Alligator mississippiensis: one gene and its partner. The protein of the gene in region 2 interacts with the protein of the main gene of each other region in a biochemical or structural test. Links are inferred from orthologs where the notes say so. Each region holds a gene or a part of one and is shown on either strand. Other genes may lie near its edges.

Evidence for each region. The genes of interacting proteins can lie anywhere in the genome.
Region 1: of the proteins of SRC (region 2) and TAMALIN, one has a biochemical effect on the other in vitro, tested with the Homo sapiens proteins (2 studies listed by BioGRID and IntAct, with this or other methods). The link is inferred for Alligator mississippiensis from reciprocal best matches to the Homo sapiens genes SRC and TAMALIN.

What each region holds. Positions count from the first base shown.
Region 1 is NC_081838.1:6,439,345-6,446,466, forward strand, and holds the start of TAMALIN (protein TAMALIN), read left to right. Parts: upstream 1-4,104; 5' UTR 4,105-4,147; coding exon 4,148-4,261; intron 4,262-7,122. UniProt on the Homo sapiens protein: Plays a role in intracellular trafficking and contributes to the macromolecular organization of group 1 metabotropic glutamate receptors (mGluRs) at synapses.
Region 2 is NC_081832.1:17,296,014-17,303,445, reverse strand, and holds the start of SRC (proto-oncogene tyrosine-protein kinase Src), read left to right. Parts: upstream 1-4,430; 5' UTR 4,431-4,476; coding exon 4,477-4,550; intron 4,551-7,432. UniProt on the Homo sapiens protein: Non-receptor protein tyrosine kinase which is activated following engagement of many different classes of cellular receptors including immune response receptors, integrins and other adhesion receptors, receptor protein tyrosine kinases, G protein-coupled receptors as well as cytokine receptors.

The DNA.
Region 1 (7,122 bases), on a different chromosome or scaffold from region 2:
GCTGGACAAGGATGACCCTTGCTTGGCCTACCTCTGACCAAGACCTGGGTCTGGCCCTCTTGCTCCACATGGGAAGACTAGATGTGCTTGGGGGAGGGGGGTTGTTAGCAGCAAGGATTGAACCTATGACCTTCCTACTTAGAACATGAATCCAGGTCTGCTGACTTTAAAGGCAGCTGCAGCCTCCACATAGCCAGGGGCCCCTGGCACTGCCACTGAGCCGTACCATGGTAGAAACGCACTGCAAGAGCAAGCTGTGTTCCAGGGGAGGCTGAGTAGGGCAGAGCCTTGGCCAGCTGAGTGTGGACTGGTACCCTGGGTGCCTGGCACTGCTGGGAACCTAACATTGGCCTGACCCAGTGCAAGTGCCATCTTCCCCTTGGTGAAGAGATGCCTTCCCTTACTGGCTCTGCATGGAGGGGGGCTGGGGCTGGGGCCTGGTCCCTAGGGCCAGCCAGGCTGCTCATTAACAGCATCTGCCTCATTAAGAGGATTTCTGCTGGTGGGGATGAGGCTGATGGATGGGATGTTACTGAAAAGCCAGCCTAGGAGGAGGATGTTTCCTGCCCCCCTGAGCTCTAGCATCCCTGTAGCATCCTATTTCATCATTTCATGGTCGTTAAGGGCTGGAAGCAACATTACAGATCGTCGGGTCCAGCCCCCCTGCACTTGGGTAGGAAACATATTTGCTGGAAGAGGAGCTGGTGTTGCTTGACACTGTCTGAAATGGAGCGCGCTGTGAACGGATCAAGGGGGAAATCCTCCTTGCACCATGGTGCACTCAGCTGCTCTGGGTCAGGCTAATACAATTAGTGCCTGGCTTGGAGCAGGGTCTGGGGGAAGCCGTCTGGGCTGTCCTCCCTGCCCTGGTTTTTAAGCTTCAATTGCTTTGCTGTCGTGAGCACCGCTCACTACCCTGCCATGCCAGAAAGGGGAGAACCCGAGAGGGGCATGGTGTTGCTATTTAAAGAGAAGTACCTGGCCCATTTGCGTGTGCACTTGTGCAGGGGGCCGTGGCATCAGAGGTGTAGCATCTAGCTAAATTATGTCCCTGGGGGCAAACTGGGACTGGGTGAGGGCTGTTGCAGCTCTGGTCTCTGGTACAGCCTGACCCCTGTGACAGCCAAACCCAGTAGCTTGAAGGCTGCCTTGTCCCAGGGGTGTGCAAGGGCTGAGCAACGCCAGCGGGACTGTTGCAAACTAACTTTTGACAACTGACTCTTAAGTAAACCTTGGGCAGAATCCCCGATCCCACCTGGCATGTTCCTGTCGGCACGTAGGAGAAGAGGTCGTGCCCTGCACGCTCCACGAGTGCTGCTTTGACTTGCTGTGGCTTTGAACAAGCTTGCCGGAGGATGCTTGAGCTGCAGCAGGAGGATGAAGTTTTGGTGTCTTCAGCTTCTTGGGGGCTGTTTCTCTCCCTGCAATACTCTGCTCTTTTTAGGTGCGTCAGGAGCAAAAACCTGCAAATCCTTCACACACAGTCCCGATGTCTTCATTTCTCTGTGAGCTTGGAGGAGGGCTTCTGCTGCCCCTGCCTGGACAGAGCTGGTTGCTGCCCTGAATGAACAGAGCATGGATGGAAAAGCAGATGTGGGACCCAGGAGTCCTGACTTGGCCTCTTAGTCCTCCCAGCCACACAAATTCCTTCGTGCTCCTGTAATTGTGACTCACTGTTTTGGTTGCAATTTCTGGCCCAAACCCTTAAATGATCTTTAAAATGGTCTGGCCCCCTCAACTCTTATTTTTGAGGTTTAAAAATCTGCAAAAATGAGATCCCTGCTGCGCCCTGAGCGGGCGTTGCATCCTGTTCAGGACTCATCTCCAAACAGGAAGATCAGCTCTCAATCTGCTCGTCAGCCTATCGCAAGTTTCTGCATGTGGTATGAATCCCACCAGCAAGGACCTCTGGTCGCTAGCTACAGCCCCCTCGGGAGATGCAATGGGAGCAGCTGTGCAGCTGCAAGGTAACAGCAGGCATGAGGACTGGTTGTGCATTGGGGGAGCAGAGACACCCCAGGGCCCCGTCTGTGCAGGAATACGGTGGCAGGGCACCGACTCGTACCCATGTGGAGCTGTCCGTTAGCTGTAGGCCTGCTCTGCGCTCGCTAAGGTTAACACTACGCGCAGAGTGGTTGCAGCAGAACGATCTCCTTTAGCCTAATGGGTCTTTTGGGAATGTCCACACTGGCACATAGAGCTGGTCCGTCCCTATCGGGTCAACCCCTTGCCACGCTACGAGGTGGCACATGGATGAGCCTTACATTACCCTCTTTGAAAAGTGCTGCAAGCTCCTGTGTTGAAAGGTGCTGTTGGCCCTGAGTGTCAGCTGGCTGTGTAGCCCCAGTGGGCACTTGGTGCCTCCCTGCTGCAGGGCCCAGCTGCATTTCCACGTGCGGCTTTGGGTCCGCTCTGCTCTGGCCCCAGCCCGGCTGGTCTCCCCCTGCAGTCAGGGCAGGGCGAGGTCTGGTTTGCTTTAATTGCTGCAGTTTTGGCTGCGCCTGGGGGACGGACACTTCCCGCCAGTGCCGGGAGGGGCGGGGGTGCAAACTCCGAGAACGCAGGAGGGAGCTTGGCATCCTCATCTGGAGGATGCTTCTGCGGCCTTGGCGGTTGCGAAACGTGCTCAGCTGCCGGCCAGCTGTCCCCGAGCTCCGGCACTGGAGCTCGTTGTGCTGAGACCGTGCCGCAGCTCGCAGGGCGGCAGCTCATTCCTTGCTAAAAATGAGAACCAGCTGCTTGGCCCCCGGCACATGCAGAGGGGGGAATGCTTTTGGGGGGCTGGGCCCCCTCGGGCAAGCGCAGCTGGGCCCGGCCCTGGGGGCTAGTGGGGGGCATCTGGGTTTGGCTCCTGGCCTGTATCTGCTTGGCATTGGATCCACGTCTCCACAGTGCGGCAGGCGGTGGGGGGGCTTTGGGGAGGTGCAAATCAGCCGTGCCCCCCACCCAGAAGCATTTTGGGGCAGGGGAGATGAGTCGGGTGGGGGCCCTGCCCAGAGCCTTGCAGGGGATGTGGCTTCGGGCGAGCCCTGCCAGCCCTGTTCTGCACCTCCCTGACGTGGCTGTGCCCTGCAGTTGGGCAGGCTGGCGGCAGAGGGAGCCCCGGGCCCAGGGATGAGTCCCCTCGGCCCAGCCTGAGGCAACCAGGCCGGTGTGGGCTCTCCGAGCCCAAGGTCATAGGCAGCAGGGTGGGAGCTTTTTCCTGGTGCCAGACTCCTCTGCACCCCCGGGACAGTCACGTGGCTTTGTGCCACCGCAGCTTTGGGCCAGAGACTGGGTCCGGCCTTCTCCAGTGGGGAAACTGAGGCACAGAGGAGCCGCAGTCTGTGATGCCTGCAGGCAGGGCCATTGGTCCGGCCAAGAGGCAGAGCTGCGGGCGGGGCATGGATCAGGCAAGCAACCTTCCTGGGGACCAGGGGCAGTTGTGGACATGCCACGTGCCCTGGGCCAGGTGCGAAGGCCTTGGGGCTCCGGGCTGGGGAGGAGGCGGCAGGCGCTGGGCCCAGACCCTGCAGCTCTGTGCCCTGGGCAGGGCCAGTGTGGGCGGCCCCGCAGGCAGGGCAGGCGGGCGCTGGCTTGTGGGGTCGGGCTCCATGTCCACGGGCCGTGGCCTGACACTTCCATCTTCTGCTTCCCCTTCCGGGTGCCTGGGGGGCCTGGAAGACCTGGGATCGCATCCCTGCGCACTCTTGCACGTCGCTGCATGTCCCTGGCTGTCCCTGCACATCCTTGCACGCCCTTGCATGTGCCTGCATGTCCTTGCAGGTCCTTCCTTGCACGTCCAACACCCCCCACACATTCTTGCACGTCCCTGGACACCCCTGCTCCTCCTCGCACGTGTGCAGCAAGCATGTGGTTTCTGACACGCTGGGGGGGGCACGCGAGGACAGCACGTGGTGCCCCCAAAATCCCCCAAACGCGTGGGGGGGCACTTGGGGGCGGGGCTGGCCGGAGGGGGCGGGGCTTAGCCGCGCGGGGCGGGGCCCCGCTGCTGGGTGACGTCCCGCGTGGGCGCGGCCCCGCGCCCGGAGCGTGGCCCGCGGGGGGGGCGGGGCCGGGGCCGACAGGGGGCGTGTCCCGAGGCCCCGCCCCCTCCGGGCCGATATAGCCGCGTGCGGCCGGGCGCGCCCGCATCCCCGGCCCGGCCATGACCCTGCGGCGGCCCCGCGCCCGGCCGCGCCCGCGGGACGAGGCGGAGGAGGCGGCGGACGTGTACCGGGCTCTGGCCGCCTCCGGGGGCACCCTGCCCCGCGCCCGCAAGGTAGGGGCCCCGGTCCCGCTCCGCGCCCCCGTGCCCGGCTCCCGGATCGGGGCCCCGGGCACCCCCCCCCCCCCGCCCGGCTCCCGCATTGGGGCCCCGCGCGACCTGCCCCACGCGGGACCCGGAGCCCGGGGAGGGGGGCTGCGGGCCGGCAGCAGGGGTGGCTCCGGGCCCGGCCCCGCGAGGACCGGGGGAAGCCCTCGTGCGCGCACGTCCCCTCGTGGGACGGAGGGACCGGGCGGGCGGCCAGACGGCTGCGCTCCAGCGGCTCCGGAGAGCGGCGGGGACTCATTTCCTGCCTGCCGGCTCCATCCCATAATAGGCCGGCGTGGCAGGCGCAGAGGACGGTGCGTGGAGGTAGCGACCGCGAGCCGCTGGCGATCAGCGACTCGGCTGCTCGTGGGGGACCGCGGCGGCTCGTTACCCCGACGGGACGTTGGCCGCGGGCCCGGCGTGGCGACCGTGGCCTTGCTGCGGCAATGCCGCCCGTCTCGGGCGCGCCCTTCCCCTGCCCCACGCGGAGCAGCGTGGTGGGTGTCACGTCGGGGACGGCGACGTGCCAGTCCCTGGACCTTCCCTGTGCCGCGGGCCCGACGATGGCTCCCAGAGCGGGGTCCGCGCTCAGAGGCCTGCGGGTGACGTGGGCGTCGAGCGCGGCGCTTGCTCGTGCACGGTCTCGTGGCGGCCGTGCGCAGGGCGGGGGCGCCACGCCTGTTGCACGGGGCTGGCAAGTCAACCCCGCTCCAGGGGGCTCTGGGGGCATCGCTGCAGCTTTCCTCCCCTTCCCCCCGCATGCGGACCTGACTCGGCTCAGCAGCAGAGTGGGAAGCTGCGGTCACTGGAGCGTGCAAAGCAGAAGTGAATCTCGAGGCCGGGCCTCGTGGTCTCTGCTGATATGCTGCAAGGTCACGTCCTGCAAGTCCGCCGTGCAGGCGCTGGGGTGGCTCTGGGGCTCTTCCAGCATCGTCCCCCTGAGCCGGGCACGTGGCCGGGTCACCCCCAGGCAGGGGTTGGGCTCCCTGGGTGCAAGGGTGGTGGCTGGCACCAGAGCCTGGTGCCTCCAGCATCTGCCCTGGGCATGAGGCATTTGCCGCCTACCCCAGGGGCGCTGTTCTGCATTCAGGGAGGCTGCGTGCCCAGCAGGCAGCTCTGAGCCCCAGGTCCCTGCTACAGCACCAACAGTCCCTGGCCAGGCCAGCTTTGCCCTGCAGCCCCTTTCCCGAGGCTTGTCCTGCGGCCCAGCGGTTGGGCCGTGCACCCCTGCCTGCGGTAGCTAAATGCTGGGCACCGCCCAGCACATCTGGGGCACATTTCACTTGCAAACCCTGGATTTCCATGCAGGGCCAGGGCGATTTGCATCGGGCCGGAGGGACATGGCTTCCTCCTAGGGCTCTGAGCACGCACAGGGGAACTCGCTTCTGCTGATGGCAGCACTTCGATGCGTTGCAGCCCTCCCTCCGCAGAGCTGGCGAACCCTGACGGCTCCATGTTGGGGGCACGTGTTTGCGCAAGAGCGTGCGTCGAATTGCACAGGGAGATGCCCATCCTAGCAGGTCCCTGGGCTGCCACTCGCATGTGCGGCTCTGCCAGGACCCAAGCGGGTGGCGGGGCGGGAACCAGGCGTCGCACTTACTGGCTCCTGTGGCTCAGGAAGGGCCCGGACTCTGGCCCGGAGCTGATTGTTTACCCGAGCTCCCTTCCCCCTGCAGGGGAGAGCGGCTGCCGTGCTCGGCCCTTGGCCGTGGCTCCATCCCTTGGTGCACAGAGCTCCCTGCTGCCGCCTGGGTCACGTCCTGCTGCTTCCGGACGGCGGCCCTGGCCTCCAGGACGGCGTGTTCTGGACGCGGCAGCCTCCCGGGCAAGGACGGTGCGGCTTGGGGAGGTGTCCAGCACCCCCAAAGTACTGTGCAGGCCGGGGAGATCAGCCCAGCCCAGGGGTGGGGGGCACATCGGGGGGTGAGGACGTGGGCTTGGCTGCGTGCGAGCCAGCGGCTGTTTTCGGGCAGGATCCCAGTGGGCGTGGAAGGCAGCTAATGAGAACCTGCTGTCGCTGCCCGGGGCTGAGCTGGAGCCGCTTGGTGACAAAGCCCGGTCTTCATGGCCCGGCCCTGCCCGTGCCCCAGTGGCATCGGCTGACATTCGGGGTCCGGAGCCGCCCACGGCCAGGGTGATGCCTCTGTACTAATGCTTTGGCAAATCTGCCAGGCCGCGGGCTCCCTCCGTACCCTGGTTCCCGCGTCTCTCAATGCTCAACAATGCCCGGGATTGTTTGCTGGGCGGGGGGAGCTTGGTATTAAAAATCGGACTTTAGGATAAAACAGAGGAGCGTCTGTGTGAGGGGCTTTCATCTCCCAGGAGCGTGCAGCCCCCCCGGGGCCCGAAGCTCGCGATGCGCAGGACGTGACACGGGCCCGGCGGTTCCCGTTGACGTCAGTGGGGGGAGAAGGAGTGTTAAACAGATGCAAGCTCTGCTTTTAATCTTCAGATGGAGGCATAATTATTCCCATCTCGCGGGCAGGGCTGGGCCTGGCGCTTGTGGCCAGGACAAAAGGCGCTATGTGAGGAGCGCTCTGTGGCCTGCATCAAGGCTTCCCTTGTCCCCGCCGCCCCCAAGGCAGCGCCGCGCAGTGCATGCAGCTCTGGGGGGGAGCAGGTACCCATTGGGGTGGCGACGGCCCGTGCCCGTCGCTGAAGAGAGGCGCTGGGGGTCCCTGGCATGGCAAGCTGCTCCGAGCCCCCAAGGTGGGGTCCCAGCCTGCCCGATGCTGGGGGACCGGCTACGGGCTCAGCAAGGGTCATGCTGGCTTGCGGCCGTGTGTTCGGGGAGGCCAGAGGCTTGGCCCCGCAGCGAGCGGCTCCTG
Region 2 (7,432 bases):
AAAATAGTGACAAAACTTATTAGCAGGGGGAAGGGAGGGATATCTGAATAAAACTGCAGTAGAATACATTGGCTGCATGTTAAAAGATACACAGGGATGTCCATCCTCTGCTACGCTTAAATTGTACAACACAACACCGCTGTTAGTCTCTGCCATACCCTCTTGTATTGATCTTATTCACTCCCAAGGCAAGCAGGTCAGGCTGGGTCAAGTCTCAGGCAGAAAGCTACAAAGGCTTTATTTGGTCCTAGATAGTCAAGGACCCAATGAAAGAAGGTACAGTGGCTTTCTACACTGGCTATTTTTATACAGTCTTCCATTTCTGCAGCTTTGCCGGCAGGAGCTATAGCTCAAAGGGAACAGACAGTCACTAGCATCTTTTGTCTCGGTCTCCAGACCTTACCCTCTTCTAACCCTGGTCAGAGCATGGTTATAAATGCTAGTGACTGGCCCAGACCAGTGCTTTTACCATTATTAGCTGCAGGAGCTGGGGCAGATGGAGATAGGGGAAAAGATAAGCGAGTCTAGGGGATTTTGGCTAGACTGGGTGACCTATGTTTAAGTGCCTGCTCTGAATCATGAAGAGCAAGAGACCTGAATTGAGGTCTCTTGCCTCCCAGCTGCATGTCCTACACCTGTGCTCTTCTTGGTTAGTTTTGGACCAATATGTTTCTCTGAACCAGCTTCCTCCTCATCTCCCTACAACAGAATTTTTTTCAGTAATATTTTCATCCAGTTCTAGAGGTCAGCTGAGGCTTAGCAGGTCTGGGAGTGGTCAGTATGGGGATTCATAAAGTGCTTTGTGTTCCTCTCAAAGATGCTATTGCAAGTGTAAAGTGTCTGCTGGGTTTTTTATGTAGCACTTTTTTTAGCGCTCCTCCATTCCTCCTGGTATCCCCAACAGGGGTGAAGGTTAGTGTAGTAATAAATGGAAGGCAGAATTTCAGCATGGACAGTTGCTTAGAGGCATGACACATGGGGAAATGGAGAGAAGTGACTGGGTGCATGTTGTGTCTGGATACTGGTGGCACTTCTGACGAGGCTAACGATGGATTCGCCTCTGGAAGGAAAACAGGGCTAGGTTGCTCCCAAGTGGTGGCAGTATCTGAGCATGCTCAATCAATGGGATCCAAGTGGTGCAAGTCAGCTTTAGCGAATCAAAATACACCAACCAAACACTCCAAAATCCTCTGCTGGGCTGTGTACTTTGCTCTCGGCCATGCTATCCCTAAGCTTTCCTTCCCTGCCGGAGGGGACCCCCAGCTGCCAGGGCTACAGGGCCAGGGACCCAGGTCCCTGATGTGGGCAGGGTGCCCTGCTGCCCACCTTCAGGGCCTCTGCAGCCCAGTGGGTGCACCCCAGCACTGCAGGACAGAGTGGGGCCGCAGAGGGATCTCTGCTGCTGCGAGCTCCATGCTGCCCTGGCAACGAGTCCCCTGTATGCGTGGCAACAGTGAGGGGCTCCACCGCCTCCTGCTGCTACCACATGCACAGGGAGCATGCACCAGGGCAGCGCGGAGCTCACAGTGGTAAGCCGCTTTCCTGCATGGCCTCACTCTGCCCTGCAGTGCTGGGTCTCACCTGTTGGGCTGCAGAGGCCCCGGGGAGGGCAGCAGGGCAGGAGTCTGAGCCTGCAGTGGGCAGCCTGCTCCCACTCCTGCCCCATGAACAGGTCTGGGGATGCGGGTCCCTTTGGCCCTCTGGAGTGCACGCAATGGTGGGGAACCGTCCCCCTCTGCCTCCCATATGAGCTGCCCACAGTCCCATCCCACTCCCTGCCAGGGCCCTGCAGCTATGTATTGCATCCTCAGGCTCCAAGCCCCATGCACTGCCTAGCTGGGCTGCAGCCCTAGCCCTGCCCAACTCCCTTCCTCCCAATGGGGGCCTCAATCTCCCCCCTTCACACTTACCTGTGGGACCTGCTCTCCAGGCTGCCTGGGCCCATGTGCATATACATGCACAGGATGCCCTCTCCTAGCCCTTTACAAGCTATAACAATGCCAGCCTGCAGAGAGCTCTTTGCAAAACTGCAAAATCCATGGGTTCCTCTGGTGAAGAGGGAAATACGTGGTTTTCTCTGTTTTTGGGGGGGGGGGGGGTTGTTTTTTTGTTTTTCCCTTGGGGAAACAAAACTCAGATCCCTGGTCATGACATCCCTGCTCACTTAGTACAACATGGAGCTTGTGTGTGAACCCACTGAGATGGAACTTCTCTCCTTCCTAAAGAGAACTGGCAGTTCTGGGTACTAGGGAGGCCAGCTTGGTTCTCTCGGGGCATAGTTCCTCATGCATTGTAGTAACTGCGTTCTGTCGGAGGCAGAGAGACTTTCAGACATAAGCTTGATCAATAGCTCTGGGCTGCCACCAACCATCCTCCCCATCTTTTCCTTCTTGATTCAGTGAAGTGGAGCAGAGAATCATCCCGCTCCTCACACATGAGGGATCAGGAGGTGGATGTTAGCTAGCTGCCCTCTACTTCAAGGAGCTGCCAAGGTAACAAGCCTGCAGAAGGTGGGAGTGAAAAGAGGCTTGGGACTTTAGATTAAGGCAGTCTTTCCCTCAGGGTGGCTGAGGGCAAGACTAGGGGAACAAAGGCACCAGCCTGATCTCCATCTGGAGTGCAGGGAACTATGAGCTTGGCTGGGAGGGAGACCCAGTGGACCTGTCTGCAGCAAACAGAGAGCAGTGTGTTGAAGACCCTGCGCTAACCTTTCACCCCCTGTATCTTTCAGGATCCTGAGGACCTAAGCTGAATTCGCCTGCTGCTGCCCCACCCCTTGAAAAGCTGTAGCTGGACAGAGGTGGGTATGATGCTTCTACTTAGTTGGGCAGAGGTGAAGGGGGCATTAAACTTCAACCATTTAACATACAACCAGCTGTAACGAGGGCGAGGCTAACCCCTTCATTTAAAGGTGTTGAGATCCCAAGTCTCAGCCCAGCTACCAGGGAGTGTGTGGACCTGAAGCAATTGACGGAGCACCACACTTTGCTGTGGGTGGGAAGTCTCTTTTGTTGTCATCTTTGTCGGCATCTCCACAGCAGACACCACCAGCTGTGTTTAAACTGTTTGTGATTTCTTGTTCTATCTGGGGTGTAGGGGACAGAGTTGAGGCCTAACGGCTCAGTACACTCATAACCTCCAACCAGTCGCTTATGATTATTCCCTTCAGCTGAAACAGTAAGAGCTCCTGCAGGCCTGAACGTGCCTTGTGTACTAATCCAGCTGCAGAAAAGCCTGCCTTATTATGCCATGTCTAATCAGTCAGAAATGAGTGTTTTGGAATGCTGGCCACTTTCCATCGCACTGCACTTCACCTTGGGGGGGTGGAGGGAGCCCTATTGTGGTGAACATTCTTTGCAATCCTAATCTCTGATAAACCAGGTGTCAACAGGGATGACAGATCCCTCCCTCTCTCCCCATAATCAAATGCATCCTCTATTGCTGCATGCTTTAAACTTGCAGGGAGTAGGGGTGGTTTGATTATGAGAAAAAATGAGATTGGGGAGGGGATAGAAAATGTTATCATAAACTGTTTCTGGTCACTGTCCAGGGAAGTAATCCCACTCTTCTCTCTGCCCCATCTTGGTTCTCTTGCTCTGCTTGAAAAGTTTGCCATTCCTGGTGGGGGCAGGCTCAAGCGCATTGCACCATTCCAGGCACACTGCTTCTGGAAGTGGCATAGCTTCACTGCAATAGTGCTGCTGTGGAGCTAATAATTCTGCCTACATGCTAATTACCCTGCAGTGCATTTTCAGTGGAGATGTGCCCATGGGTGACCACTTTACAGTTTGCGTAAAGTTTGGAACTTGAGCTTAGCCTGTAAGCTCCTTGGGGCTGGAGCTGGTTGTTTGTGCCTCTGGGGCCCTGGTCCATGAGTGGAACTCAGCGTTACCAACACAAATGCACAGTAATGGCTGTAGGGCTGAGAAGGAGTCTGGTTTTGAAGCATCTATCTTTTGCACCCAGGATCTTGGTACACTTTCAGTTACCAGGCTGGGTTTTCCCTCCTTGTGTGTTGCGACCAGGGCCTGGAAAGCTGGGCCAGGAGCCCTGGCAGTGCTGGCTCCTTCCTGAAGTAGCAGCAGTACCTGCATCAAAGGGTTGTGCCTGGCACTGCTCTGGCTCTGCTGTGACTCGGGGGGGCGCCTAGCCACTCCCCAGGGAGGCTATATCCTGCTGGTGCTAGCATTGTCTGCTTTCATCTGGTAACTTCCCAGAAGCTTGTTTAACAGGGCTGAAAGAGATGGAGCTAGAGTGGGTAGGTAGGAGTTGGCCTGGCTGCTATCTAATGGGCACTGGATTTACCTGCTGTGTTTTCCCCTTCCTCTTTTCTTCTGTGGCTCATTCTTTCTCCCTCCTCCTGGTAGAGCCACTGATCTCTCTCTCTCTCTTTCAGAGACCTTCGCACACAGCACATTCCTGATATGTCCTCACTGCTTCTCTCAAAGCACATTCCTTCCTGGTACTACGGAATAGATGTTGACCCTTTCAGGCTTTTATCAGGAGCTCCTTCTAGGGCTGCTTTCACAATACTGCTTCAGTCTGTGCAGGTAGATTTTGGAATTAAGTTGTTTATCACATTTAACCTTTTCATCATCAGTGCAGCTGCCTAGCTGCTGTGACAACTGCCAAAAATGTGGCGATTTTCCTGGCCAGGATCAGCTCTCTTTGAACCACCTATAACCAGTCCCTTGTCCTTCTTAAAGATCTGCTGGAGCAGCGTTTCTCAGTCTGTGGATCATGATCCACAGTTCACAATAATATATGAAAGAGTCACAAACTTTAAAAAATGGATCTACACACTTTAAAAATGGATTCTCCTTTAAAGAAGAAAAAAGGGGGAATTTGTGGCTTTTCCCTTGCAGGCTGGTAGAGTTTCAACCTTCAAGGGGCTGTTTGGGGAGGCCCCCCCATACCTGACATGTTTGGGGGCTGGGGGTCAGGGGCAGCAGGTTGTTGAGCACGGGACACTGGATCTGGACTGGCCATTGATGTTTACAAATGGTTCCTGGTACAAAAAAGGTTAAGAGCTACTGTGCTAGAGAAAGCTGCCTGCTGGGTGACCTGAAGTGACTCATCCTTTGCATAAGGAGTGGGGTGGGGAGGGATAGAGTTACAAGCTGGCAGCATTGCTGAGAGGAGCACCTTGCTGGAGCACCAGCAGTCACTTTGCCCACAAAGGATAGAGCTACGCAGACAACAAAGGCAAGCTAGCATTGATCAGGCTCCTATGGGTAATGATGGCAGTGAAGAGGGGGCAACACAGGCCTGATGGGGCCATTGAGCACATACTTGATCTGCCAGCTCACGCTGATGTTGCTATATCTTCACTGCTACTTGAACTAGCAATATAAAGGTGTTGTGGGCTGGCATAGCTGTACTGCAGTTGTACCTTCATCTGCTATATAGACAACAGAAGCCCGAGGGAGCTCAGTGGGGCTTCTGCTGGTATTGCTTGGACCTGAGCCATTCACTTGTGTGGGGAAGGGAGTCTCTTTTATCCAGAGGCCTTTTCCCTCTCTCCCCAAATTTCTGTGACCCTGACAAAGGGGATTTTAGACTTAACGATGTGTGAACCTGTTGTTCAGCCCTACTTCTAGTTTAGGCTCCCTATGGTAGGTCATGGGTTTGTATTAGCAGGGGTGGGTTGTGTTGAGGCAGCGCAGAAAGGTGCTGACTTGTAACCAGAGACAGCACAGAGCTTGGAAAGTGTCAAGTCTATGTTGAGCAAAGGAAGGGTGACTACCTTGGAGGACTGAGGTACATGTCTGTTCCCTCCACCAGCCCCATACCTTCTGAGACTTCCCTCACTCTTATCCTCCATCCTGGCTTTTTATTTTTGCCTCTGTACATTGTGCTCAATAGCCCTGTATTCCTTTCTGCCTCTGCACTGCTCTCTCTTGTCCCAGCAGAACAGTACAGTGCAAGCCAGTACCCTGCAGCACTTCCAAGGTTTTTGTATTCTGTTTTTGCAGCCAAAGCCCTAGATGTCTGCGTAAGGGAGATGCCAAATTGGGCCTTGTCAGAGCAGTGTACTTCCTGTGATTCAGCACAAAGCTAATGGATCCTTCTTAAAGTGGTAAACCCAGGGAAGGACAGGGGTTGCCACGGGTCACTACAGCATAAACGGGGATCTTCCCCTATGCCAAGTATGGAGCCCTCCCTCTAGTGACTACTTGTGCCATATAGGCTCTTGGCCTGTACTGACCCTGGCTTGGAGCTCGTGTACCTCCATGATGCATATTGTGCTGTGACCTTCTTCATGCTACCTTAAGGAACTTCATGGTGCACTGCGTGGTAGAGCCAGACCTGAATATTGGCTTTTGCCCAGCTGAGGCCTGCAACCTGGACTGATGCCATGGAACAGTGGCTTGCAGCGGATGGGGGAGGAGAAAGTCAAGGACTTCTGTCTCCCAGTTAGGGCCTTTGCTGGACAGAGTCTTCTGTGAGAGACCCTGCCGGGACTGATGGGACCAAAAGGCCTTGAGTGACATAAATGACCATCAAGATTGCCATGGCAACCACAGTCCCTTCTCCCTTGCTTCGACCTGCCAATGAAAGGCTGGGACTTGTCTTGTGACCTGCAGCATCTTCAGCTGCATGGAGTTCCTCACATTTTATAGGACTGGTCCTTGTGGGTGCCGAGTATAGCCGGAATGGGGCTGTGATGGAGTGGAATTAGGCACAAACGCGTACTGGTTGAATTGAAAAGAACTTTACTTACAAACTGACGTACAGGGACTTGCGACGATGCACACAGTGTAGGCACTAGCAAAATCACCGATGTTTTCTGAGCATGCAGGGTATGGGGTACGTCGGGACGGTCGTCGAAGGGGAGTGGTTGGTGGTTGATCAGGCCCCAATTTTGCTCCAAGGTACACGAGGAACTAGTTCCCAACGTACACGCGGAGTTCTCCGACTTGGGCGGAAACTACCCAAGCTTTTATACGGCTAGTGAGCCAATTGCTAGCCGCCGGTATGAATAATTTACAATGAGCCAATCGGTAGCCTGCATCCAAATGGTGCAACTGCTAGTTTTGGCGGGAGCTGATCACTGCACCAAGGCTTTTCCCGCCGTAGCGAGGCATCCCTTGCACTGAGTACTCGCATCATGCTAAGAATTCTGCTGTGTCGAGGCACTTTTAATTACTAAGTACAGACAGTCCTATTGTGTGAAGAGCATCTTTCAGTGGTGGTGAAAATAAGCTGGACTAGTTAGCGTCATTCTGGATGGCAAGGAGCACCTCATCTCCAGGTACCTATGGAGAGACAATTAACTGGGCTATGGCCCTCATCACTGCATGCAGGCTCCCCCAGGAGACTGAGCCAAAGGCATCAGAACTAACTGTGCCTTCTGGGACCTGGGATTAGAATGTATATTTTGAGCTGGGTAAGGTTTTTTGTTGTGTTTTTTTTTTTGGGGGGGGTGGAA